Linked DNA regions of Cricetulus griseus. The protein of the gene in region 4 interacts with the protein of the main gene of each other region in a biochemical or structural test. Links are inferred from orthologs where the notes say so. Each region holds a gene or a part of one and is shown on either strand. Other genes may lie near its edges. The genes, in order: Prc1, Usp16, Cdca5, Cdk1, Rpa1, histone H1.0 and Ezh2.

The links.
Region 1: of the proteins of Cdk1 (region 4) and Prc1, one has a biochemical effect on the other in vitro, tested with the Homo sapiens proteins (2 studies listed by BioGRID). The link is inferred for Cricetulus griseus from reciprocal best matches to the Homo sapiens genes CDK1 and PRC1.
Region 2: of the proteins of Cdk1 (region 4) and Usp16, one has a biochemical effect on the other in vitro, tested with the Homo sapiens proteins (3 studies listed by BioGRID). The link is inferred for Cricetulus griseus from reciprocal best matches to the Homo sapiens genes CDK1 and USP16.
Region 3: of the proteins of Cdk1 (region 4) and Cdca5, one has a biochemical effect on the other in vitro, tested with the Homo sapiens proteins (2 studies listed by BioGRID). The link is inferred for Cricetulus griseus from reciprocal best matches to the Homo sapiens genes CDK1 and CDCA5.
Region 5: of the proteins of Cdk1 (region 4) and Rpa1, one has a biochemical effect on the other in vitro, tested with the Homo sapiens proteins (2 studies listed by BioGRID). The link is inferred for Cricetulus griseus from reciprocal best matches to the Homo sapiens genes CDK1 and RPA1.
Region 6: of the proteins of Cdk1 (region 4) and histone H1.0, one has a biochemical effect on the other in vitro, tested with the Homo sapiens proteins (3 studies listed by BioGRID). The link is inferred for Cricetulus griseus from reciprocal best matches to the Homo sapiens genes CDK1 and H1-0.
Region 7: of the proteins of Cdk1 (region 4) and Ezh2, one has a biochemical effect on the other in vitro, tested with the Homo sapiens proteins (5 studies listed by BioGRID). The link is inferred for Cricetulus griseus from reciprocal best matches to the Homo sapiens genes CDK1 and EZH2.

Annotation. Positions count from the first base shown.
Region 1 is NC_048596.1:117,299,059-117,302,558, forward strand, and holds part of Prc1 (protein regulator of cytokinesis 1), read right to left. Parts: intron 3,285-3,500; coding exon 3,135-3,284; intron 2,871-3,134; coding exon 2,723-2,870; intron 1,761-2,722; coding exon 1,624-1,760; intron 1-1,623. UniProt on the Homo sapiens protein: Key regulator of cytokinesis that cross-links antiparrallel microtubules at an average distance of 35 nM. Essential for controlling the spatiotemporal formation of the midzone and successful cytokinesis.
Region 2 is NC_048597.1:9,874,356-9,877,855, forward strand, and holds part of Usp16 (ubiquitin carboxyl-terminal hydrolase 16), read right to left. Parts: intron 2,320-3,500; coding exon 2,132-2,319; intron 1,822-2,131; coding exon 1,726-1,821; intron 241-1,725; coding exon 110-240; intron 1-109. UniProt on the Homo sapiens protein: Specifically deubiquitinates 'Lys-120' of histone H2A (H2AK119Ub), a specific tag for epigenetic transcriptional repression, thereby acting as a coactivator.
Region 3 is NC_048596.1:53,258,711-53,261,735, forward strand, and holds the end of Cdca5 (sororin), read right to left. Parts: intron 2,199-3,025; coding exon 1,773-2,198; intron 1,607-1,772; coding exon 1,526-1,606; 3' UTR 731-1,525; coding exon of another isoform or gene 701-730; 3' UTR 501-700; downstream 1-500. UniProt on the Homo sapiens protein: Regulator of sister chromatid cohesion in mitosis stabilizing cohesin complex association with chromatin. May antagonize the action of WAPL which stimulates cohesin dissociation from chromatin.
Region 4 is NW_023276806.1:268,279,703-268,283,202, reverse strand, and holds part of Cdk1 (cyclin-dependent kinase 1), read right to left. Parts: intron 3,018-3,500; exon of another isoform or gene 2,940-3,017; intron 504-2,939; coding exon 347-503; intron 1-346. UniProt on the Homo sapiens protein: Plays a key role in the control of the eukaryotic cell cycle by modulating the centrosome cycle as well as mitotic onset; promotes G2-M transition via association with multiple interphase cyclins.
Region 5 is NC_048600.1:88,756,965-88,760,464, forward strand, and holds part of Rpa1 (replication protein A 70 kDa DNA-binding subunit), read right to left. Parts: intron 2,158-3,500; coding exon 1,981-2,157; intron 1-1,980. UniProt on the Homo sapiens protein: As part of the heterotrimeric replication protein A complex (RPA/RP-A), binds and stabilizes single-stranded DNA intermediates that form during DNA replication or upon DNA stress.
Region 6 is NC_048595.1:376,142,442-376,146,341, reverse strand, and holds histone H1.0, read right to left. Parts: upstream 2,537-3,900; 5' UTR 2,273-2,536; coding exon 1,688-2,272; 3' UTR 501-1,687; downstream 1-500. Other genes in the region: Gcat (2-amino-3-ketobutyrate coenzyme A ligase, mitochondrial), read right to left, coding at 1-95. UniProt on the Homo sapiens protein: Histones H1 are necessary for the condensation of nucleosome chains into higher-order structures. The histones H1.0 are found in cells that are in terminal stages of differentiation or that have low rates of cell division.
Region 7 is NW_023276806.1:222,396,696-222,400,195, forward strand, and holds part of Ezh2 (histone-lysine N-methyltransferase EZH2), read left to right. Parts: coding exon 1-25; intron 26-1,051; coding exon 1,052-1,192; intron 1,193-2,900; coding exon 2,901-3,003; intron 3,004-3,500. UniProt on the Homo sapiens protein: Polycomb group (PcG) protein. Catalytic subunit of the PRC2/EED-EZH2 complex, which methylates 'Lys-9' (H3K9me) and 'Lys-27' (H3K27me) of histone H3, leading to transcriptional repression of the affected target gene.

The DNA.
Region 1 (3,500 bases), on a different chromosome or scaffold from region 4:
TCCTAATCAGATGCATATATTAAAGTGATTTTATGAGTTGTGAATTTCTATTCACTCAACAGTAAAAACGGTAATTTTCTAGGCAATGGGCACTCCCTGCCATATATATAAGGCCATCTACTGGGGAATCAGGAAAACTAACATTTTCTTCTAAAAAAACAAACAAACAAAAAAACTTAAGTACACATAATAGTGATTTTCTTTCTTTTTCTTTTTGAAACAGGGTTTCTCTGTGTAACCCTAGCCCTAGTTGTCTGTACTGGAATTCACTCAATAGACCAGGCTGGCCTCAAACTCAAGAAATCCACCTACCTCTGCCTCCCAAGAGCTGGGATTAAAGGTGTGTGCTACCACTACTCCCTGCCTGAGGTTCATGTTTTCATGCATGTACGTGAATTTTGTTCATATTCAACCTGCTACTCTCTTACCACCTTCCCACGGCTGCGGATTCCCTTCCTCTTGCCAACTATCCCATCTACATTTTTTTTTTTTTGAGGGGGTTGACTCAAAGAGCTTTCAATTAGGGTTGCTTACAGGATCATAGGTAAAGGGTTATTTATATAGGAGCATGGCAACTTACCAATAGCCACACTACTTAAGAGAAAAGTCGCTCCCCCTCAAAAACCATTGTCAATAGATCTTTAGGGGAGGGGGAAGACCTGGGGGAAGACAGTTATAAGTTGAGCAGGATGTCATAAGCCTTTATTTCCAGCATTTGGGGGCAGACAAACCATCTGGAGCTACAGAGTGAGACCTTGTTTTGTTTTTGGTTTTGTTTTCACTGTAACAGTCCTGGCTGTCCTGGAACTCACTTTGTAGACCAGGCCTGCCTCTGCCTCCCAAGTGCTGGAAGTGAAGGCATATACCACCACATCCGGGTGAGACTTTATTTTTTATTTTTTAATTACAATGGAATTGAATATAGAATATGTGGAGGGGATGCAAGGAGGCCTGCACTCATGAATTAGTGTGGTGCCTTTACTAGCCCACTAACTTCTATACTTACAACGAGCACAAGGGAAGGCCTGTGTTAACTTCCCAGCATTGCCAGAAAATGCAAAATGTTGGGCTGGGGATGTAAGCTGAATGATCAAGCATGTCTGAGACCCTGGTTCAATCCTCAACACCATAAAAAAATAAAAAATAAAAAATTAACTTTTCATTTTTGTTATTTTCTAACATATACATAGTAATGAGTACGTATTATAAATTAGGTGTGCTACTCAAAACTAGGGGCAGGCAATCAGTAGTATTCTTGACATAGTGCCTGATTGGGACAGCCTATAAAGAACTGCAGGGAGCACTGACCTCATTTATTCCATCTTAAATGTGAATGTGTTAACCAGGGAGTCTACATTTACGTTTCTGCCCATGACTTCTCTCTGCTTGCAAGCAGAGAGTTGGTAAGGACTACCACAGGAACTAGCTGTATGTACGCCTCAGTTTTTTCCACCGAGTCTAACTTCTCTATTTGTAACGCTTTTTCCCTTCACTTTGAAGCTCAGTCTAGAGAAGAGCCTATGACAATCCTTGCCAAGTGCCAGGACTACAGGCCTGGGCGACCACACCTGGTGTGCTGTCATGATGCTTGATTTCACTCTAGAGAAATACAGAGGAGGTTACCTCAAACTCCAGGAAGAGTTTCCAGCTCTCTTCCCACTTCTGGACACCTTCAAATAGTTCTTTATGAACTTCATAATAGTTTCTTAACCGTATAATCTCAGCGTCATGAAGATGAAGCAGGTTTTCTGTGTAGTCCTCTGTAACATCAAAATTCAGTAGTGGGTTTTTTGGTTTTAGGTTTTGTTGTCTTTTTTACACAAATTCCTTTAGTATAGTGATTCTCAACCTGTGGGTCTAGACCTCTTGTGGTCACATATAAGATATCCTGCATATCAGATATTTATATTAGGGTACATAATGGCAAAATTACAGTTATGAAGTAGCAACAAAATAATTTTATGGTTGGGGGTCACAGCATTAGGAAGGTTGAGAACAACTGTTCTTATGTTTGGTATTCCAAGTAACTAACCTTACACTGTGAAAAGTTTTCTACCTTATAATTTAAAATGACATAGGAATAAAGTAAAAATAAACCTTAAAAAAGAAAAGAGAAAGGGTGAGAGGAATAAAAGCCAGCCACAGTAGTTGGGATGGATTAAAATAGTCTAAATTGATGAACATTCTCCAAAATGTGTTGTCTCTTTCTTCTTTTTTTCACTCTTCCTTTATGCTTTGCACAGCTGATAGATTGGGCTACATAAAATATCTAAACATATATTTTTTTGTTAGGACATTTCACTTCTCTGTTCAGTTTAAGACAGTCTGGAACTCTTCTTCTTGACTCCCTTGACCCAAGCATTTATCTGCTATACCTCTGGTTTAGTTGCTCAAAACTTTGTTTTAGTGCCTCCCCCCTTTTCTTTTCTTTTGTTTTTTTTTTTTTTTGAGGCAGGGTTTCTCTGTAGCTTTGAAGTCTGTCCTGGAACTCATTCGTAGACTAGACTGGCCTTGAACTCAGAGATCTGCCTGCCTCCCCAGTGCTGACATTAAAGGCACCACCATCCAGATTAGTGCCCTTTTCGTATGCCATGAAAATTAAGCGAGGGAATATTTTTAAGGCTTGGCTCTATCTGCTCAGAAGTAGAAATACAGAACTTCCTGGTGAGTGTCTGAGCTTATGAAAGACCTGTGAAGGTGGCCACATGAAGATCATACTAACCAGAATAGTAAGGGGCAAAAGCCTGTCTCTGTTCTTTGCTATAAAAACACTGGTCCCAGAACTGAGCCAGCTCCACTCGAATTGTCTCAATCACTTGCTTTATGTTTTGCATTTTCAGTTCTTCTAAGCGATCCACTTCTAATTGCAGCTATAGAAAAAAAGGACAAAGGTTATAGCCATACTTTCATATTCACTTGCTTACCTTTCCACATTTAAATAAAATTACAACACAGAGCTATGCAAGTAAATCAACAACACACCTTCTAACATTATAAAAGCCAGAAATCTAAGGAATGTACCCACAAAATGCACCAAAATACAACTTGTCTTTGCTGGCCCAAGACAGTAGGCAGTAAGGACATTGGACTTGCAAGAAGAGCAGTATTTACCCAGCGCCCGTTGGTTTTCTTACCGCATTCCTGACTTTGGCTTTTGACCCAGTCATAATTGCAGCCACAGGTTCTCTCTCTTCTTCAGGTATTTGTAACCTATCCCAGAGCTCTCGGATCTGAGCACGGAGCCCTTCGCACTCTGCTTCATTTTTTGATTTTTTAATTTCCAGCTGTAGCAAGGAAAGGCAGTGGTTAGACCAAAATCGTGAAAACTAGCCTTCTATTCTCTCAAAGGAAAATGCCTGGGCCTATCAGGAGAGAAAGCACTTTTTTAAGATCCATATATATTTATATTCATATCTTCTCTATGTGGCACAGGATGGCTTTTACTTAGCTTCCAGAGTGCTAGGATTATAGTTTAACTGTGTGCTATCACACTTTTACAT
Region 2 (3,500 bases), on a different chromosome or scaffold from region 4:
CAGGAAACATGTTGCTTTAAATTGGAATGAAATATGTGTCTATTCTGTTGGTTCTGATGCTCTCTGCATCTTACTGATGCACTGAAAGCACAAGCAAGTGGATACTCACTTTTTACAGACCTGAGAAAAGAGCTCTTTAGGAGTCACAATTCGCTTTTTGTTCTCTTGCATCTCATTAAGAAACTGGCTCATGGCTAAAGTAAGAGGACCTGGAGGCTCAAGGTTTACTTCTAAAGGTTCCTAAAAATAGAAATAAAAATTATGTCACTCAAATGTTAAGAGTCATTTACTTACCAAAATGTAACAAGCCAATGAATGATATTGATGGAGCTGCCAAATGTAAACATCCAAAATTTATACCATATAGAGATACAGAAACTAGCTGTTCAAAAATTTAGCTCTGGGCCAGGAAAAGAGCTCAGTGATTAAAGTACTTGCTGAGCATGCCTGACAACCCGAGTTCAACCCCCAGAAATTGTTGAAGGTGGAAGGTTAAGAATCTACTCCATGAAGTTATCCTCTGACCTCCACATGCACAGCTTAGACATACACACCACACACACACTCACACACACATACCTTACATGGACACCTCACACATACACAACACACACACACACACACACACACACACACACACACACACACACACACCTCATACAAATGATAATAATACATTGGGGGGGGGGTTGAGACAGGGTTTCTCTGTGTAGCTTTGGAGCCTATCCTGGCACTCGCTCTTGTATACCAGGCTGGCCTCGAACTCACAGAGATCTGCCTGCCATGTGCCACCACTGCCCGGCTGATAATTATTTTTAATGGAAAACTGAGCTTTATCTTAGTTTTGAATGGATAGGAACTTATGACCTAAGAATTAAGAAAGCAAAGACAAAATATATCTAGTAACTGTAGAGAAAGTAAAATTTATCTGACTACATAGCACTTAGGTCACACTGAAAATGTCAAAAACAACAGTGCAGGCCTGAGCTTCACAATTATCAACATTCTTAAGATGGTGGTAGAAAACATACACACTCACACCAAATATGGCAAGTTCATAGCAAGCAAGCAGAAAGTTCTTTTAACAGTTATTAGTTCTAACTGTTTATCTTAGACTGAAATAAAACCAAAGAAAAAAGTCAGAGATGAGTTTTAATTCCTCAAAACAACTTGGAACATGAATATTTACAAAAAAGATAATTGTAAGACAATTTTTATTTATTTATTTTTAACATTTATTTTGTGTATAGAAGTAGGTATATATGCTGTGCTGTGGCAAGTGTGGAAGTCAGAAAAAAAAACCTGGGAGTGAGTTCTTACCTTGTACAACGTCAGGCCTAAGGGTGGACTCAGATCATCAAGTGGGAGTGAGTTCTCATCCCCCACCATGTCAGTCTCAAGGGCCTGTCAGCCAGTGACTTTAACTGCCACCAAGGGGTCTTCCTGGGTCAATTGGAAAATCTAGCTTAGCATGGCAGCACACACTCCAATCCCAGAACTGGGAAGGCTAAAACAGAGGCCTGCCAAGATTTGCGGTACAAGGGGACTGTCTTCAAGTGAGTAAGAAATGGGTGTGGTGGCGCACCCCTCTAATCCCAGCACTTGGGAGGCAGAGGCAGGTGGGGTTCTCTGTGAGTTCAACGCCAGCCTGGTCTCTGTGAGCTCCAAAGTGAGACCCTGTCTCAAAAATAAAAATTATAAAGTTAAATTGGACCAAATACATACTGTTAGTGCCAGATCAGGTGGCTCTATTTTCACAATTGTTCCAGACATTTTCACTTCTTTTAGTAGTTCTCTAAGCACTGGTGTTTGTGACAAATTCTACAATGCAGGATGGAAACAAAATGAGCAGTTACTTACATAACCAAGTCATTCAAACAGTTAAGTGTTTATTCTACCAAAACTGAAAACCACAACCAACAGTGACTCTTCATTACTTCTCTACCTAGAGAGGAAACATTACAACACACTCTTCGCCCCCTCTCCATGGCTCATGTCACTTCTGCTATGGCTGGAATGTAAGGACACACTGGTAAGCACTGGCAGTAATAGAGTTTTAAGCAATTACTCTGAATAGACAGGAATTTACACAGGGAGGATATAGCCTGAGGGAAGAAGAGAACTTTGTCACCTGCATAACGGCATTGAAGAAACAAGTGTTTCCCAAGTTACTGAGTCCTTTCACAATCATCTGGGAAGCAGAGTCCATGGGAATGTTTTCTTTAGCCATGTTTTCCGTTTTCTCTTTCTCTTGTTCATTTTTACTGTCTTTTTCCAATTTTTTATTTTCAAGTTCAATATGTCCATTATCTTTCTCTGCTTTAAAAAGGAGAAAAAGAAGATTTGGCAAAGTATAGAATATGTCCATGCCAAATGTAAAGCTCATTTAGAATACTGTACTAGAATTTTTTATTTTAACTACTATCAATTACTGGAATCAATTTGGCTGATATTTAATAAGTATTGGTAAACTCACAGAAGTGATAAACATTCAGAACTGATGATATAAGGCAAGTCTGAAAGTGTAAAAGAAGCATATGCTTTGGTATAAAATTGTCCCTTTAGTACATAAATATTCTTCATACTGGAATGTATATGACTATGTAGAATTAGGACACACAACAACAATGTAAACGTATTATGTTCAAATGAATTCTACTAACCAAAAATCAATTCTGGTATAAATAACTCTGTCTTGAAAAAGATAATTGTTAACACAAGTATCTAAAGAATAAACTTAAAGCAAACGCTGCACACCATGCCAATTCATTTGCTTCTCAGAAAGTATCTAAGAACCTGACTGTTAGAAAATGCCACAAAAGGAGCTAGGGATGTAAGTTAGAAGGGTATCCGCTGCCAAGCATACATGAAGCCTAGGGTTTGATTCCTAGTACCTCAAAAAACCAAAGAGTGGTGTTGCATGTCTGTAAGCCATGTGATAACTTGAGAGGTGAAGACAGGAGGGTCAAAAGCTCAGTGTCATCCTTGACTACATGTAAGGTCAGTAAGGGCTACAGAGGACTCTACCTCTAGCCCGACATGGTGGCACACGCCTTTCATCCTAGCACTTGGGAGGCAGAGTCAGGTGTACCTAGGTAAATTCCAGGCTAGCCAGGGTACAAGAGACCAGAGTCTCCAAAACAACAGAAGACAACCTCTGTCTAAAAACCAGTGTGTGTGCATGTGTGTTCATTTTATTTAATAGAGAGACTGAAAATTTTCTTTTTCAAAATATACCACTAAATACAGCATAATTCAGTCTATAGGCATTCCCTGGAAGCCTGCTTCCCACACCGGCCAAGAAATGAGGTGGGCAATCTTGACTCTCCTTCCTACCCTCCAATTCTGATCCCCTAATCTTGTCCCCAGCTTTGTGGGAGACCACCACCCTGGCCTCTCTGCCCCCGTCCCCAGGGTCTAGGGAGACCTTCTACAGCCTCCCTCCCTCGTCTCAGCCTGATAACAGCAGGCGGCACTTAGGCAAATGGCCAAGACAGCCA
Region 3 (3,025 bases), on a different chromosome or scaffold from region 4:
TGGGTCTTGTTGGCCAGTTGAGCTGAGATGATATTCTAGGTTCAGGAAGGGCTCTGGAGGAAATTTAAAAGCCTAAATTTCAGCAGAGGATGAGCTGGGACGCTCACATCTGCACAACAGGCCAAGGAATCACATCTTTGATCTGCTTCTCAGGGGTGCCCAAACTAGGAAACCCTAGTTTGGAGGCACAAGGCATCAGCTGCTGGGTGGCATCTAGGAACAGCTATTATACCTGAGCCACTGGCTCCTATGATGGATGGAGCCTTAGGAAAAGAGGGAGAGGGATGAAGTGTAGTCAATTCCATAAACCTCCCCTGGGACAGGGGGGCTTGGGCCTTCATTTCAGGAAACCCTAGTTTGGAGGCACAAGGCATCAGTCATTGGAGGGAGGCCAGGTTGGCAAATTTTAAGAGGAACAGCCCTGGTGACACAGTCCAATGACATGGCATCCAGGGCTTCACACCAGTGGCTCTGTCTTTGACCAAATAAAAAGCAGTCTATAAACAAAACTCTTTAAAAGTTTATTTGACATCAAACCTTTCCCCTGGGCTGTACATTAGTTCCTCAAAGACAGACGGGTCTGTAGTGATGGCAGCAATCAGAAGGTCCAGCTCACGGTCCACAGGGACCAGTGAGGACAAATTCTTCAGATGTGCTCCGCTCAAAACCATCCTGGTGTACAGGTGCTTGCTTGCAACTCTCATTCCATGCAGCTTCTTCTCCAATGAACCTGCATATGTTGGAAGTCCAATGCCCTTTGAAACCATATCTTCTACTATCATCCAGAGGAGATGGTAGGCAGGAAGCACTTCCGCAGAGACCATGAGACATCTACTTTTGTTCCCAGCAACCCCCACCCCCGGGAATGGTCTCGTGTGAAAGTGTAATAGTCAAGCTCACAGCAAAAGCTGTCATCAGTGCTACAGCTGTATGGCTCCTGAGAAAAAAGCCACATCCCAGAGCCAAGACTGTGCAGTTCATTTTGAAAGAAACAGATGTGGGTGAGGAAAGGGTGACCAGAGACCACAAATCTCAAGTTGGTGGCATCTGGAGCCCATACCATGAAGTATACTTACTTTGCCCTAGACATCAGTACCTCATTCACCAATGTGTCAACAGCAGAACACAGACATGAACAGCTCCTACTTAACAGTCACTCGTGTTAAAAAAACAAACAAAAAAAACTATGACTACCTCCTTCTTTCACATCCCAGACTCCATATTCAGATTTCCTCAAGAGTTTAACTGTCTCTAGCCTGTGAGCTCCCTATCAGACTCTAGGACTCCAAGCCACCAACAGAGGGCAACACCAGAGAGATAACCCACGATGAACTTGTTTCTGACAGTGCAGGATTGTAACAGAATTAGCTTCTCATCCCCAATACTGTGAAGAAAGTCCAGGGTAACTAGCCACAATATAACAAGGGGCCAGCTACACCTTTCTGGGTAACAAGTCCTGCTCTACTCAAAAGTCAATATGTACAGGGAGAGGGGAGAGCCTAGCCAGGTGTACCCCCACTTTATCTCATTCAATCAGAAGATCAAACTGTTCAGCAGCTTCAAACTCAGCATTCATGGCCTTAGCCCACTCATCCAGCTCCGATTTCTGGTAGAAAGAAATGAGGGCATTTGAGTGGGGAAGCGGCCACATTGCCCAGAGAATGTTACTTATCCACACCTCAGGAATTGCCTTCCCTCAAAACCTGGAGTCCTGCCCCCCTCCCCCCAACCAATACGGTGCATCTGTGGGAGAGACCCCGCCCCTTACTCACTAGGATCTCCGGCACCTTCTTCCTTCGCTTCTCTTTCATGACTGGAGGAGAGATTCCAGGAAGCGTTGTGTCTGGAATCAAGGGCTTCGAAGATACTTTGGGGATCTCAATTAACTTTGAACTCACGACAGGTGAGACTTGGGGCAAGTCTTCAAGTCCCTCAAAGCCAAAGAAGGATCGGCGGCCAGGGGTGGAGGTTGAGGCAGCATTGAGCCTCTCAAGCCGACTGTATGATCGCCTGACTTTCTGGGACATTTCCAAGTCTCTGGTGTCCAGTTCTCTTTCCTCAGAGTTAGACTCAACATTCTGAGTATACAGCACTGGGGTGCTGGTGGGGGTACCAGGGACACTACAGGTCTTGAAGAGGTCCTCCTTTGTGGGTACCTTGAGAGGAGGGTTGTTTTCTTTTTCCAAGATAAAAGAGATCTGTATCAGGACAGGCGAGAGAACTCTTGTCAGCTCGGGGATTCAGGATGGAAAGACTGCCCACAAAGCACAGGATTTCTACGTTTCTTGTGTATTTTATGGTTGACCTTGTGCATGCTAGACAAACACTGTGCTGAGGAGTTCCATCCCCAGTCCAGGACAGATTTTAAGCAACAAACAGTCATAGAGCACATGCCCAGAAATGCATAAGCCCTGGGTTCTACCTCCACTGTTGGAAAGAAAAAAAGAGATAATCACTACTGTTTTGGAGAAGCTGACTTAGGACAAGATTCACTACATTTGCTGCCACCCTCAAATGTACCTGGCATATAGCAACAATTTGCTACTTGACATAAAGTTCCAGCATACCTAAACTGGCTTGACAGCCTCCTAATTGTTTTGCCTGCTTCCAGGGTCATCTGCCATATAGCTTCTAAAGATTTTTATAAGATGTTCATTTGACCAATAAATATCTATTAGTGACCTGTCCCACACCAGGGAATGTTCTGGGCACCGGGAATATATCAGGGAAAACTTAAAACAAAACAAAACACTGGCACCTCAGCACTTTCACTGTGGCACTGAAAACATGAGGAAAACTTGGGTGGGGGTGGGTTAAAAAGCAGAACAAGCTGGGCGGTGGTGGCCAACGCCTATGATCCCAGTACTCGGGAGGCAGAGGCAGGCAGATCTCTGTGAGTTCAAGACCAGCCTGGTCCACAAGAGCTAGTTCCAGGACAGCCTCCAAAGACACAGAGAAACCGTCTCAAAAAACCAAAAAAAAAAAGGTTCTTTTGGGACTGGAGAGATAGCTAAGAGAGCACTGA
Region 4 (3,500 bases):
ATTAATTCTCAGCACCATGTCTGGAATTCTTTGAACAGGCTATTCTCTTTTATCTCCTCCTAGCATTACAATCAACAAAAATAAATGTGACTCTATCCCACTGCACCCAGAAACTAAACAAACATAAAAATATCCACATTAAGCCGGGTGGTGGTGGTGCACGCCTTTAATCCCAGAACTCGGGAGGCAGAGACACTCGGATCTCTGTGAGTTCAGACTAGTCTGGTCTACAAGAGCTAGTTCCAGGACAGCCTCCAAAGCTACAGAGAAACCCTGTCTCAAAAAAAAAAAAAAAAAAAAAAAAATCCACAATGGGGAGAATTGTTTCAATTCAGACATAGCCCACCTGACTATATTTGGATGGCGAAGTTCTTTTAATAGGGAAATTTCCCGGATGGCGGTACTGGGCACTCCTTCTTCCTCACTTTCAAGTCTGATTTTCTTCATGGCCACTATCTGGCCAGTAGTCCTATGTCTACCCTTATACACCACACCATAAGTACCTGAAATGAAGCAAAGAGATTTTTTTTAAGTGAATCCTTAAGGTGTCACATGATAGATGTGCCTGCTGTGGCCAGACAGGAGGTAAACTCACATACACTTAAACTCTCGCTACTTCCAAAAAGAAATTGAAGGTAACTACAACCTAACATACACATGGTTTAGGACTAAAATTCATGAAGTCACCCAAGTCTCCCACAGTTAAGCTTCCTTCATGAGGCAGCATACAAGTTGAAATTCACCTGTCAAATATCCTGCATGCAATTAAAACACTACGTAAACTGAAGCTGGGAAAACAGTACCAAGAGGAGGCACTGGAACACATTCAGGATGACTTATGCTTTCCACACTTTAACACATCTCAAAATGTAGTCAACAGTCCTCAGCCAGCAGAGTAGAGACAAATACCACACCACACATTTTTACTAAACCCAATAAAGCTGCTATTGCTACAGGAGGAAGCCTCCCTCCCGTTGGGAATGATGAAAACACTAACATGAGTATCACATGAACAGCAATGGCAGTAAGAAAAGACACAGTGGGGGTGGCAGGCACAGCAAGATGGACTAGTCACCTGTGCTGCATACACTTCCCCAGATGTTACAGGCGTCTTTTAAACTCAGGGTCCAGTTTAGAGAGGTACTAAACTCCCTAGCTATATATAAACTTTGTTAAACAGCTTTTCGTGGCATCAGTATGACTTCAGAAATGACAAGAACACCAGGTCTGGTGACACATAGCTGTGATCATAGCTATTTGAAAGGCTAAGGCAGGAAAATTCCAGGTCAGAGGCAAGCCTGGACAATTTGGTGAGACCTGTCCCAAAAGACAAAAGATCCCAGCATGGTGTGCATGTCTGTAATCCTGTCACCTGGGAAGCTGAGGCAAGGTTAGATGCTGTCTAAAAAACCCAAAGGATTAGAGCAGCAATAGCTTTTATTGGCTCTAACAATCTGTCCCAGTGATCAACTGTTTAGAATATTAAGCAGTTTGCTCAGCAGCAAGTTGACATCCACATAAGCTTTGTTCTAGCATTTTTTTAAAATTAGAGGAGCTTGTTTTCCTAAACAATCCAGTCATTTTAATGATATTATTTCAAATAAAATCCTTACTATTTTGACCAAATGCTAGGTGACTTTGAATAATGAAAATATCCCAGGTAAAAAGGCCTACATTCTGTCTGTGAAGACATAGGAAATCCGTACACTCACAGGTTCCTTAAGGGTGTATATCTGCCTTGTATGAAGCACACAGCAGCTAAGCCATTAGCAAGAGGACACTGTCTGAACAGTCTGAATTAGCAAGGTATATAACAATCCAATAAAAAATGATTAATTCTGAATTCCTACAGCGTTTTCTGTTTCCTCCCAGTGGACTACTTCATTCCTTGGTAAAGTGCAGAACTAACTCATGATGATTAGCAGCCAATACTCAGTAAACATTGACTTAGACAACACAGAACCATTCTGAGTGTCTCAACTCCTGGCTCTTCTCAATGAACGTCTGAATAGGGCTAAACAAAGCACAACCCCTTTACTTGTTAATCACTGAACACTATTCATGAAATAAACAGTGGATACTCAGAAATTCATGTTTTAGATAAAGTACTTTAAATCATTAAATAATTTGGTGGGGTATCAAACAAGGCTGGAGAGATGTCAAATTATTTCAACAAGTCAGTTTTTCAGCACAGAATACACAGAACCCAAGACAGCAGGCACAGTGGAGCAGACAAGCCTCTAGGCCAGAGAAGAGTTCAGGAAAGCAGGTGAAAGTGCTCCATCAAGTACCTGAGCAGCTCCTGTGAGAGACATCTGGACCCTAGCCTTCGTGGAGCCTAAACCTGGAGCAACTAAAAGGAATACAAAGACTGATGCAAAGGAAATGGTCAAATCCCTTCAACTTGAACAGCAGTTCTTGATATGTGGGGTCCAGACTCTTTGGGAGTTGAATAGCCCTTTCATAGGGGTCACCTAAGACTATCAGAAAACAAGTATTTTTATATCACAGTTCATAACAGTAGCAAAATTACAAGTAGCAACAAAAAAAAATTTATGCTGGGGAGGGGGGGTCACCACAACATGAGGAACTGTACTAAAGGGTCCCAACATTAGGAAGGCTGAGAGCCACCGATCTAGACAGAACAAGCTGAAAAGAGAAGCCAGCACTGGATGGTTTTAGAAAGCCCTATCTGAAGGATTAAAGAAATGCAACTGGAGAGGTGGGTGGCAGCAGGTGAGGCTGGTGAGGGGGAGATTACCATGTAAGAAGACAGCTGTGGAGGTGATGATCCCATTGATACAGAAAACCCCAGACTCCCACTTGAACACTACCTGGGCCATTCGTGGCTTACTAAATTCCCTGCCTTGGTTTTAATCCCCTGTGTAAGTGGGGCCTCTGAACACAGATGAAAATGAAAAGTCCTCAACAGAACCCACATAGAAACAAGCTCCACCGTTTGCTCCTTGAGAGCTAAGAATGACGTCTTGACTCCTAGGTAGAAATATGGAAATTCTGTTGCAGGAAGAGAAAAAAAAGAAGAAATAGGAAAGGGTTATTTTCATTCCTCATTTATGCCACATGGGCCTAAGCATTGTTCAAAATACTACAGAAAGGAATTGAACAACACATAAAAGCCACTATGTTTAAGTCATTCTTGCCTGTAGTAACCCCATAGAAAATCATTCATCTTAGCTTGTCAATTACTGCATCCAGCTTACATAATAGAATCTAGTATTTAGAATTAATTGAATAAGACTAAAATGTAATGTGAATTACTTTAATTCTACCTCCCTAACTGACACCCCCAAACACACATACAAGCTATCAGTAGTGTTTCTGAAACACACACATCTGGTGTGTTCAGGACCAGAAGTGAGATGAGCTCAGAAGTTTGTGAGGCCCTATGGTTATCAGCAAAGAATCAGGGATAATTTAAATTCTCTTGAACAAGAGTTACAAGTGAACCACTGTTCCTGTGATAAACCCAGGCAAAAGCA
Region 5 (3,500 bases), on a different chromosome or scaffold from region 4:
ATCTTACTGTGCAGTCTAAACAGGCCCAACTTACAATCTCTCTGCCTCAGCCTCCCATGGACTGAGTTCACATTTACACATTTTTTTAAAAATTTACAGTGTGTGTTGTATTATGTGCATACAGGTGGAGGCCAGAGTTTGGCATAAAGTGTCTTCTACGGTTTCTGTCCACATTAACTTTTGAGACAGGGTCTCTCAGTGAACAGAGCTCAGCAACTGGATAGGCTGATGCCCAGTGAGCTCCAGGCCTAAGCCTGAGTTGCTTTACTTGGAAGTTGGGGATCTGAACTTAGGTCTTTACACTTGGGAGGCAGGAGCTTAAACCACTCTTAAAACACACTGCATGTGTACATTGGGGTTGTGCCTGCATTCATGTCTATGTGAGGACTCAGATTTCCTGGAACTGGAGTTTCAGATAGTTGTGAACTGCAGTGTGGGTGCTGGGAATTGAACCTGGGTTCTCTTAACTGCTAAGCTATCACTCCGCCCCACATTTTGAATTTAAAGAACTGCATGAGATGGTTCTAAGTCATTACTGAGCAACAGGTAATTTCAGAGCCAATGTAAAAAACCTTTAACCAGTCACCAAATCCACCAAGCAACAGAAACAAATCCCAGTGGATGTAAGGCTTAAATTACATTGGTGAGAGCCAAGAAAGTTTGCTGAGCCGGCTAGGCCAAGAGGCCAATGAGCCCCAAGAACTGAGTTCAATCCTCACCCTGGCACTATTACTACTTCACTGATAACCACCCACATCCCCAACCCTAAATTCTTTTTGCTTTATTTGTTTGTTTTTCTGAGACAGATTCTCTATGCAGCCCTGGTTGACCTGAACTCACTCTGTAGACCACATTGGCCTTGAACTCAGAGATCCCCTGTCTCTATCTCCCAAGTGCTAGGACTAAAGACATGCGCCACCATGGCCTGGCTGATTTTTGGTTTCATTCATTCATCCATTTCTGGGACTGGGTGTCTCTCATGTAGCCCAAGCTAGCCAGCTGGCCTTTAACTTGCTAAGTAGCTAAGGATGACAGACATGTGTCAGCCATTGAGCGACAACCTCGGCATAAAAGCTGTAAGTCCAAGGCCTTTACAATCTTCTACTCACTAAAGTGGCTAGTCACTAAAGGAAGTAACAAACAGAAGGGCATTTAAACTGACCCCAACTTTTCAGAGTAAACAACTTCACACAGCTGTAATACTGCTGATTAGTTCTTCAGAATAAATTCCCTGTAGGTGGCTTCTGCATTAGGAAATAGGAATACTTTTTTTTTTTTTTTTTTTTTTTTTTTTTTTGGTTTTTCGAGACAGGGTTTCTCTGTGTAGCTTTGCAGCCTATCCTGGCACTCACTCTGGAGACCAGGCTGGTCTCGAACTCACAGAGATCCACCTGCCTCTGCCTCCCGAGTGCTGGGATTAAAGGTGTGCGTCACCAACACCTGGCTTCAATAGGAACATTTTTAAGGTTTTGGACATATTCCTTACTGTCAAATCAAATCAAACCAAAGCAGAGTTTAAAAGAGTTACCATACTCTGGCACACTCCTCTCAAGTCAACTCATCTAAGGTCAACTGCCCCCCCCCCCCAAAAAAAACCAGAGTATCCACAAGAAAACTAACACAGGCACTGGCTGTAGAGTTATAATTACTGCTTTCCAGAAATGCCATTTCATATTAATTTATCTCCACAACAGTGAGGAGGCTAGCACCACCAGCACGGTGACCACACAGCATCACAGATGAAAAAAAAGTTGCCCATTGGCGAGGGCATCAAGTTCTCAGGAGCATGAACACTGCAGGTCAGCCAGGGCACAGCCATTACCTCCTTATTTACAGAGTAGCAGCAAGCTCCCCAACACAATGCATCTGTGAGTTCCTTACTACCAACCACCTGGGCTCTACTGTTGCACCCCCCAGTGTCTTGTCCTTGTCAGCCAATCAGTGAACACCATAAAGCTTCTCGATAACCATTCTACTCACCGACAAGATCATGCGATATTTGAAGTTGGGGAATTCCCGGTCACACTTCTCACAGCGGTATAACCCATTCTGCTGGTCAATCACTTTCTTATTGCAGTCTTGGGTGGGGCAGGCCTGGTACATACAGTTCTCTTTGCGAAGGAACACCACCGTTGCCACTGTGCTGAAATAGTCCGCCTATGGGAGAAAAGTATCACAGAGGCCGGGATCAGCAAGCTACACTTGGGCCTGGAACAGGCTACTTGAAGCTGCTCTTACTTGCAAGTGGTAAGTGATGTGTATCCTAGTTCCCACACTCACAGACCGAATATGGAGAACTGTTCACTCTGTTTTCTACATGCAAACCCACAGCACTCAGCCCACCCCCCCACCCGCCACCCCGCAGGGTCTCACAAGCTAGCCTTGAACTCACAGAGATCTGCCTGCCTCTGTCTCTAGAGTGCTTAGCCACCACACCTGGACACATAATTCTTCTTTATTTATTAATTGTTTCATACGTGTATCTCTGCATATATGATGATCACATGCAAACTAATGCAGGCGAGCCTGCGCCACGGTGTGTTTGCGGAGGCCAGAGGACAACTTTCAGGTGTCAGTCCTCTCCTTCCACTGTGGCTCCAGGAACTCAAGTTTCCAAGACAGCAGGACCAGTGCCTTTAACAGCTAAGTCATCTTGCCAGCACATAATATTTGTAAAATGTATGTATCTAATGTGTGTATATGTGTTTCTGCATATGTATACACACTATGTATACACACAGCATGGGATGTGTGCAGGCCAGAGACAGCTTGTGGGAGCTGCTGGTCTTCCTTCACCACATGATCCTGGAGCCTGGACTCAGGCTGTCAGGCTTGGCGTCAGGGAGCCTTACACACTGAGTCACCTTGCTGGCCAAACACATAATCTTTTACAATGTCAGTGATTTCTAACCTTATTTTTAGGGATCAGGAAGCTTTTCCTGTGACAAGCCAGAGGAAAACTTTAGTCCCAAGAACTCATTTAGTCAGTCTCTACTGCCGCTCCTCAGCCTGCTGCTGTGGGGCAAGACAAACCCCAGACAATGTGAAGATGGAGGATGATCCAATAAAATATATTTTTGAGACAGGGCTTCTCTGTGTAGCCCTGGCTGTCCTGAACTTGCTCTGGAGACCAGGCTGACCTCGTACTCACAGATCCACCTGCCTCTACTGTGGAGTGCTGGGATTAAAGTCGAGAACCATCACTGCTCAGATGGTTCTCAGTAAACTTTTACTGACAACATCAGACAGCAAGTTCACAGTCTTGACCAGCAACAACTCCTGGACTGAATAAAGTTCAAGAGAATGCCAAAGTACCCACGACGACAACCATGTAAACAGTAGTCTCTGCTAAGTAACCTAGGAGGACTAAGTCATGTTAAGGGTTCTGAGTGGATCCGCTTTACCTCTGTACCCAACACACAAGTTTTCAGGACTCTGTGTTTTCAGTTTATGTTCAGTGGTCAAGTAACTGCAGAATCCAGGAATACCCTGAATTCAGA
Region 6 (3,900 bases), on a different chromosome or scaffold from region 4:
AGCTCGCCCTCCACGATGCCGCGCAGCTGCGCCAACGCTGAGTGCGCGCGGCGGCCGGGTGACAGCGTCGCGCGCCACACGCTGCTGACCCACATCTCGCCCACGGGAAGGAATGAATGCGCCTGCCAGCCAGCTGCCTAGCTCTCCCTGTCATGTGGCGTGGGCAGGGCCCCGACAACCAATCAGAGCAATAGGAGCTTTCTTTAAGAGGCTGGTGAGGAGGTCCCGTCGGCAGGCGGAGCCTGACGCGGCTTACAGGCAACGAAAGTGGATTCATTTGTAAGTCAAAACCCAGGAGGTCCGCGCCGGGAAGTGGCTTCAGGGCATCCCCTCCCCACACACCCACCTCTCCCGAGGACCCACCACCGTACTTAGCCGACCCGCCTCCTGCCCTTCCAGCCTCTCCCCAAAGCTTCGCTTTTTCCCGGCGCTAACGTGGCGCCAGCTCTGCCCCACGTAACCCATCTACTCTCCTTCAGTTGAGGGAAACGCACCACTCAGATATTTTACCAGTTTTATTATTTTAAAAGTTTAAAATTACAACCACAGCAACTTTTCCCAGCAATTATAACACTTGTTTAAAAAGGGGGAAGGGACGCGAGTTTCCTATTTTATTAAAATAAGAGAAAGACAACTGTACAGGTTTTTTTCTCCCAGCTCCCGAAGTGAGACTAAGTACTAGTCTTAGATATGGATATATACATATACACACATGCACACAATCCTGGCTCTCTAAAGCTACCTAGCAAACTAAAATCAACTGTATTGTCTTACAGTCCACTCCCCGCCTCTCCCCCTCCTAGGCTACTTAGAAAAGATTTAAAAGTAAAAGCAGTTGGAGGGGTTTTACGTGGCAGCTGGTAAAACTGAAGCAGCACCAAGCAAAGCCACATCTTATACAGGAAGGAAAAAGAAAAGAAGAAAGTTCTCCTAGGACACAGCTCTCAACAATCGTGTGGAAAAAACCCAAGTTTCCACAGGCACACTGAGGCACTTGGCTGACTCCCCACCCTCCCCTAAGTCCACTCCCATTTAACAAGAGACTGCTGAAAAGACCCCCCCCCTTCCCCAATGGCTAGATCCTGATTGTGAGAAGCAATGGTTTCTCTAACCAGCTGTCACTTGGACCCCTTTCCCCTTTTAGACAATGGGGAGGCACTAGGGCATATGTGAAAAGAAACCCCAGGTCCCCAACTGCTCACCACCGCTGAGGGCAGCCGAGCGATTTTCCCCTCCCTGGCCAGCTAGGTGGAGTGTCATCCTCTGCTTTGCACCAAAGGTTTTGAAGCTCTCAGAAGGGATGGATGAGCAACTTACAGCCTTAAAAAGGACAAACTTCATTTCCTAGGTCCCCTCATCTAGCCAGAACTTTACCAGTTCCATTTGCCTTCACAGTAAACAAACCTCCCAACAAAAACCCACCCCAACCCTAACCCCATAAGGTTAAATATCAAATTAAGAAAAAAAGTACATCTTCATCATTACAAAGATGAGGTCTGAGGCTTTCCTTGCACAATGGGTTAAGGAAAAGGGAATCGCTCCACAATGTCTGTCTGAGGAATCCAAACTCTGTCCTTTCTGTAAAGTCAGAATAAAATGGGCAAAGGGTTGCAGATGAGATCAAGAGAGAAATGTATTTACAGAAAACAGGAGGGAGGAAGGAGTGTCACAAGCAAAGCCTTCATTGTCACTTCTTCTTGCTGGCCCTCTTGGCACTGGACTTGGCTTTGGGCTTCACAGGTTTGGCCTTCTTGGGTTTGGTTGTCTTGACCGGCTTGGCTTTGACAATCTTGGGCTTTTTGGCTTTCTTGGGCGTGGCAGCCGGCTTCTTCTTGGCCTTCTTGACAGGGGTGGCTTTGGGTTTCTTGCTTGGGGCTTTGGCGGCAGCCTTCTTGGGCTTGGCTGCCTTCTTCGGAGTGGCCACTTTCTTGACTTCCTTCTTGGTCTTCTTGAAAGCCACCGACCTCTTGGGCTCATCACCCTTGGCCAGCCTGAAAGACCCCGAGGCACCTACCCCTTTGGTTTGCTTGAGAACACCGGTGGTCACCAGGCGCTTGATGGACAACTTGATCTGGGAGTCAGCGTTCTCACCCACCTTGTAGTGGCTCTTGATATACTTTTGGATGGACTGGCGCGAGGAGCCGGCGCGGTTCTTCTCTGCCTGGATGGCAGCCACGATCATATCTGAATACTTGGGGTGGTCGGTGGACTTCTTGGAGGCCTTGGCCCGTTTGGGCTTCGCCGCAGGGGTGGACGTGGAGTTCTCGGTCATGGTGGCCGGCCTGCTCCTGCTGCTGAGAGAGCCTTCCGAAGGGCCAGTCCTCGCGGGAGGTTGGGCACGACCCGAATCGGGATCTGCTCTCCCGCTCGACTAGCAGGCCAGACGAAAGTGCGGCTGCCGGGGCCGCGGGCGACGCGTGGCTCCTGTCCTCCCCGGCGCGGGTCGCAGGCGGGATCGCGGGCTGCTCTGCGCGGCCCAGCCCCCACCGCTCGGTCGCTCGTCCGGCGCCTGGCTCTGCCTCCGCCTCCTCGGCCTCCCTTTTCCCAGCTCTGCGTCTGGCGCTCGGGCGGCGCATCCGGGTATTTAGCGGCGGCGGGCGGACCGCGGTGAGGACTGGGCTGCTGGCTGCCTGCTCCCGGCCCGGAATGGCGCCGCGCCGCCGCCATCTGTGTTTCTTCCGCCGAGCAAACCCGACCTTTGCCGGCGCTCCAGGCCCTCCTGCTGCCCGCTGTCTCTCGGAGTCCCTGCCTGGCTCCCTAGGCTTCCCCGCTGGGGACCCAGGCGCCCCAGCCGCTGTCCCCCGCGCCCGCCACGGGCCCCAAACTGCGCCGAGGAGCGCTCAGGCGCCGGCACATTTCGCCTTTGCGGGGGGCTGGCTCTGCGGGGCCCGGGAGCCCCCGGACTTGAGACCCCCCGTAGGAAAGCTCACCCCTGGGACTACCAGGGCTCCCACTCCCGACCCGCTGCGGGGTCCCCCAACCTGGCGGAACGGCGCAGAAGCGGCCCCAACTAACACACGCCGCCCCGAGCTGGGCGACTCCCAGCCGGGCCGAGTCGGGACAAGGGGGGAGGGGTCGTCTCCCCGGGGTCCGGTCACCTCTTGGGGGTCACCCGGCCACAGGCCCCCCGGCACCCCTAACCCCTCTCTGTCCCCGGGGCCTTCAAGGAAACTTTCCCTGGAAGAGTTGGAAGGGCTCTTTCAAACTTTGTCCCTTCCCCCTCTTGAGTCGCCTCTCCCCTCGACGCGCCCCCAGATCGCTGCATGGAGATTCCTGCCTGAACCCGAGCCCCCAAAGCTTCCTGGGACCCCTGGGAGACGGGGACTGGCTTCCTGGGTGCCCTACTTTCTTCAAGGACACCCCCACATCTTGCATATATCCGAACCTAAGAGTTCATTTACATGCCTTCTTAGCTTGGGAGTTTTGGGGGTGCGAAGCAGGACCACGAGGTCCACCCGGGGGGGTGGAGCCGCCTCTCCCACTGGCCTCTTGAAATTTAGGGTGTGCCAGATGGGGTGCGGTACACATCATTGGCGCTGTCCCATAGGCGCTGACCAGAGACTGTCCTCAGGGGCCCTGGGATGAGCAGAGGCTCTGTGTGCTTTGGAGATTTGGAAAAACGGGGCGAGGAGAGAGTCCTCCTTTCTCTGGTGGTGACTTAGGTATGCAGTCGATCAGGGAGCCGTGGTCGGGACCACCGCCATTTTGCTGGGAAGATGCCATGCCTTTGTTATAAAATGCATCTATCTTAACAGCCCTGCTTGGCACAGATCAATGAAGTTAGCAAGGGGCGCCACAGTCTGCAGTACGACCTGGGGTTGTTGGGAGTCGTAGTCGAAGAGATTCCCAGAGAGCCTGGGACGTCTTGTCTGCAGTCTACCTCCTCAAAATGCCAGGATT
Region 7 (3,500 bases), about 46 Mb from region 4:
GATGGGAAAGTGCATGGAGACAGAGGTGAGTTATATGTATATTCTCTTGGGGGCTTTGTTAAAGATTCAAGATGCTTGGGTTCTTTTTTTTTTTTTTAAAGGTTTTATTTATTTATTATATATACAACATTCTGCTTCCATGTATATCTGCACAACAGAAGAGGGCACCAGATCTCATAACGGATGGCTGTGAGTCACCATGTGGTTGCTGGGAATTGAACTCAGGACCTCTGGAAGAGCAGTCAGTGCTCTTAACCTCTGAGCCATCTCTCCAGCCCCAATGCTTGGGTTCTTAACATAGGGTTTGTAAAACAAACAAACAAACAAAAAACAAACTTTTTTGTGATAAAATTAATTTTTGTGTTTGACTATAAAGGACTAGCCTGGGCTGACAGGCCTACATTTTTGGTGGTTTTTTTTTTTTTTTTTAGTTTTTCCATTAGCGGATCTTACTTGTTTGCCACTTGGTAACCATCAGTAAATAGTTATGAACTGTAGCAGCAACATGGAAATTTTATAGGAACGGAGTGTGTGTATTTGGTAAGCTTTAAATAATAAAATTAACTAGGCTTAAAGTTCTATTTATGGGATGTGTGCTTCAGAAAGCCTCCCTGCTCAAAAACACCTTTCCTCAGGGCTGCCTTAGCGCCTGAAGTTGAGTCATGAGATTCCTGGATTCAAGTTTCTTGTGTTCAGGAGGTTCTTGGTATCTGAGAGAAGGGGGTGTGGTCATATTATAGTAGGAAACAAGGTTTGAAGTGGCCAGTCAGTGGCACAGATTGGGAGGAGGCTAAAGCCACAGGTCTTAGAAGATTAGGAGAATAAAGGGTCCTGGACCATCTGGAGAGGGGGTGATTCCTGAGAAAACAACAGACACTCAATGATCATTGCTGTTGTCTTTGCTGGCTGTGAAATGATCTTGACTGACTGTGTCTGCCCCTCAGGTTAGTTACAGTGCTGTGCTGATGGGCCCTGGCTGTTCTTCCAGATTAGGAAACACAAACATAAACTTTTGTCATAACACTTTCCCCTGTTTCTGACTGACTTTTAGAATGTGGATTTATAAATGATGAAATTTTTGTGGAGTTGGTAAATGCTCTTGGTCAATATAATGATGATGACGATGATGATGATGGAGATGATCCTGATGAAAGAGAAGAAAAACAGAAAGATCTAGAGGATAGTCAAGATGGTATGTTTAATACTAGGGTTTTTTTTTTTTTTTTGTATGAGCCTACATCATTCTTTAAAAAACGTGTGGAGCCTAGTGAATGGCTCAGTGAGTAAAACCATCAAGCCTGATTGAATTGAGTTTGATCCCTGAGACTTACACTGTGGAGGAAAAGAACTGACAGTCTCCTAAGTTACCCTCTTATCTTCACATTCCTGTACACTGTGGCATATATACAGTCATATATGTAAATGTAAGAAAAAATCCCATTATGAGTAGAATGTAATTTCCCTCTCCTTTTGTTAAATATGTCTTAGTAGTATAATCAAATATATTCTCTGCAGGATTTCATTGTCCACTGTAGCTTCTTTGTTTGCTTTGCCTGGCAGAGGAACATAATCCTTTTTGGGCTTTGCTGATCAATTATTGCAATATCTTTATAGTAATATCACATATTATGTACATTGCATGCTGGGCTTTGCTGATCAATTATTGCAATATCTTTATAATAATATCACATATTATGTACATTGCATGCTGGGCTTTGCTGGTCAATTATTGCAATATCTTTATAACAATATCACATATTATGTACATTGCATGCTTACTTCATACGCACCAGCTCACTTATCCTTCCACAGCTCTGCAATGTCGGTGTTGCTATCAGATCCATTATATATTGGGAATGAGTTTAGAGAGGCTAAAGGCTAAAGAACTTACTGAAGACTGTAATACTGGGAAGAAGTAGAACACTGAGCCCTAAGACGATGACCTAGGTCTGTCTCAGGAGCTGTGCTGTTATTGCATCTGCACTTGTTAAGGATTATTAGAAACCAGTCCATCCTATGGCAGAGCCTATAAATGCTGTCCTCTACTCAGCAAGCCTAGTATTAAGGCAGCTTAGTAGAATTTAGGGGAGAATTGCAATATCAAGAGGCACGTATTCTTTATAACAGAAATACATCTTAGGGGTCAACTGGATGATCGCTAATTCTGTCAAGCTACTGGCAGATCTGAAAGTGTATTAGTATCATTGCTGACACAAAGCTATTAGTTGCAAATAATGAAAATCTGGGGGTTCTGTCTTCCACTGCTCTTAAAACATCTCATATTTGAATTTTATGTTTGTTCTTCAAATATTCCACAGGCTTTACATTAGAAGTAAATGATACAGGGTTTGTTGGCACATGCCTATAATCTCAGCACTTGAGAGTAAAGGCAGGAGAGTCAGAAGTTCAAGGTTGTCCTCAGCTACATAGTGAGTTTTATGCCATCTTGGGCTACACTAGGCAAGCGTCCCCAATAAAATCCCCAAGCTAGTCAGAGCCAGAGACAGTAGAATAGAAAAGTGGACTGTCACTGGATAAGAGTGCTTGCTGAGCACATCTTGATGACTTGAGTTTGATTGCTGGATTTAACTGTAGAAGAGCATTGTACTAACTCACAAAAGTTGTCCTCTGATCTTTACACATGCACGGTGGTGCACACACTAAAAATAATAATAGTCACCAAAGGTTTGACATCAACCTGTACTTAGTTGAATTCCAACTAGAACTACATAGAAAGAGACCTTGTCCCAAAGATTATTCCACCAGCCCCCCAAAAGTGAAGCGAAGTTGACAGTGCCTTAGGAAATCAGTGTTGTTGAGATACTGTGTGATAAAGAGAAAAATGAGATTTAAACTTGTTTCTTTCACACCCCCCCCCCCCATCACAATTCACTGTTTAGATAAAGAAAGTTGCCCTCCTCGGAAATTTCCTGCTGATAAAATTTTTGAAGCCATTTCCTCAATGTTTCCAGATAAGGGAACAGCAGAAGAACTAAAAGAAAAGTAAGTGAGAATTTTTTTTAAAATATGGGGCAGTCTTGCATATAATTCATCATCTTGTTTTTTTCTAAATGGAATTACCGAGTGTGATGAGCCATTCCATAGTTTACAGCTTGTGTGACACTTCAAGCACAATCTCCATTCCTCTCTTCCACACCCCACACCCTATTCTTGTACTATGTGTTATAAAGGGTTATTGCATGTAGAGTAAGTGTACAGATAGATATTCATGCACACAATAAGCCCATGTACAATTTACATTAGTTTATTGTAGGAAAACTTTTCTGGGCACTGGTAGAGATTTTTATATTTAATTCAAACTAATATAATAACCTGTGATATACCTGAATTGTATTAACGAGCTTAGTTCTTTCTGTAAGTAAAGATTTCTATGGGTTAGATCTTTTTTTGTTGTGTTTTTAGGTAAGGTAACATAAAAAAAAAATCAAATCCAAAGGAAGCCTTTTAGAAACTTTAAAAAAATGATTTTTCTTTCTGCT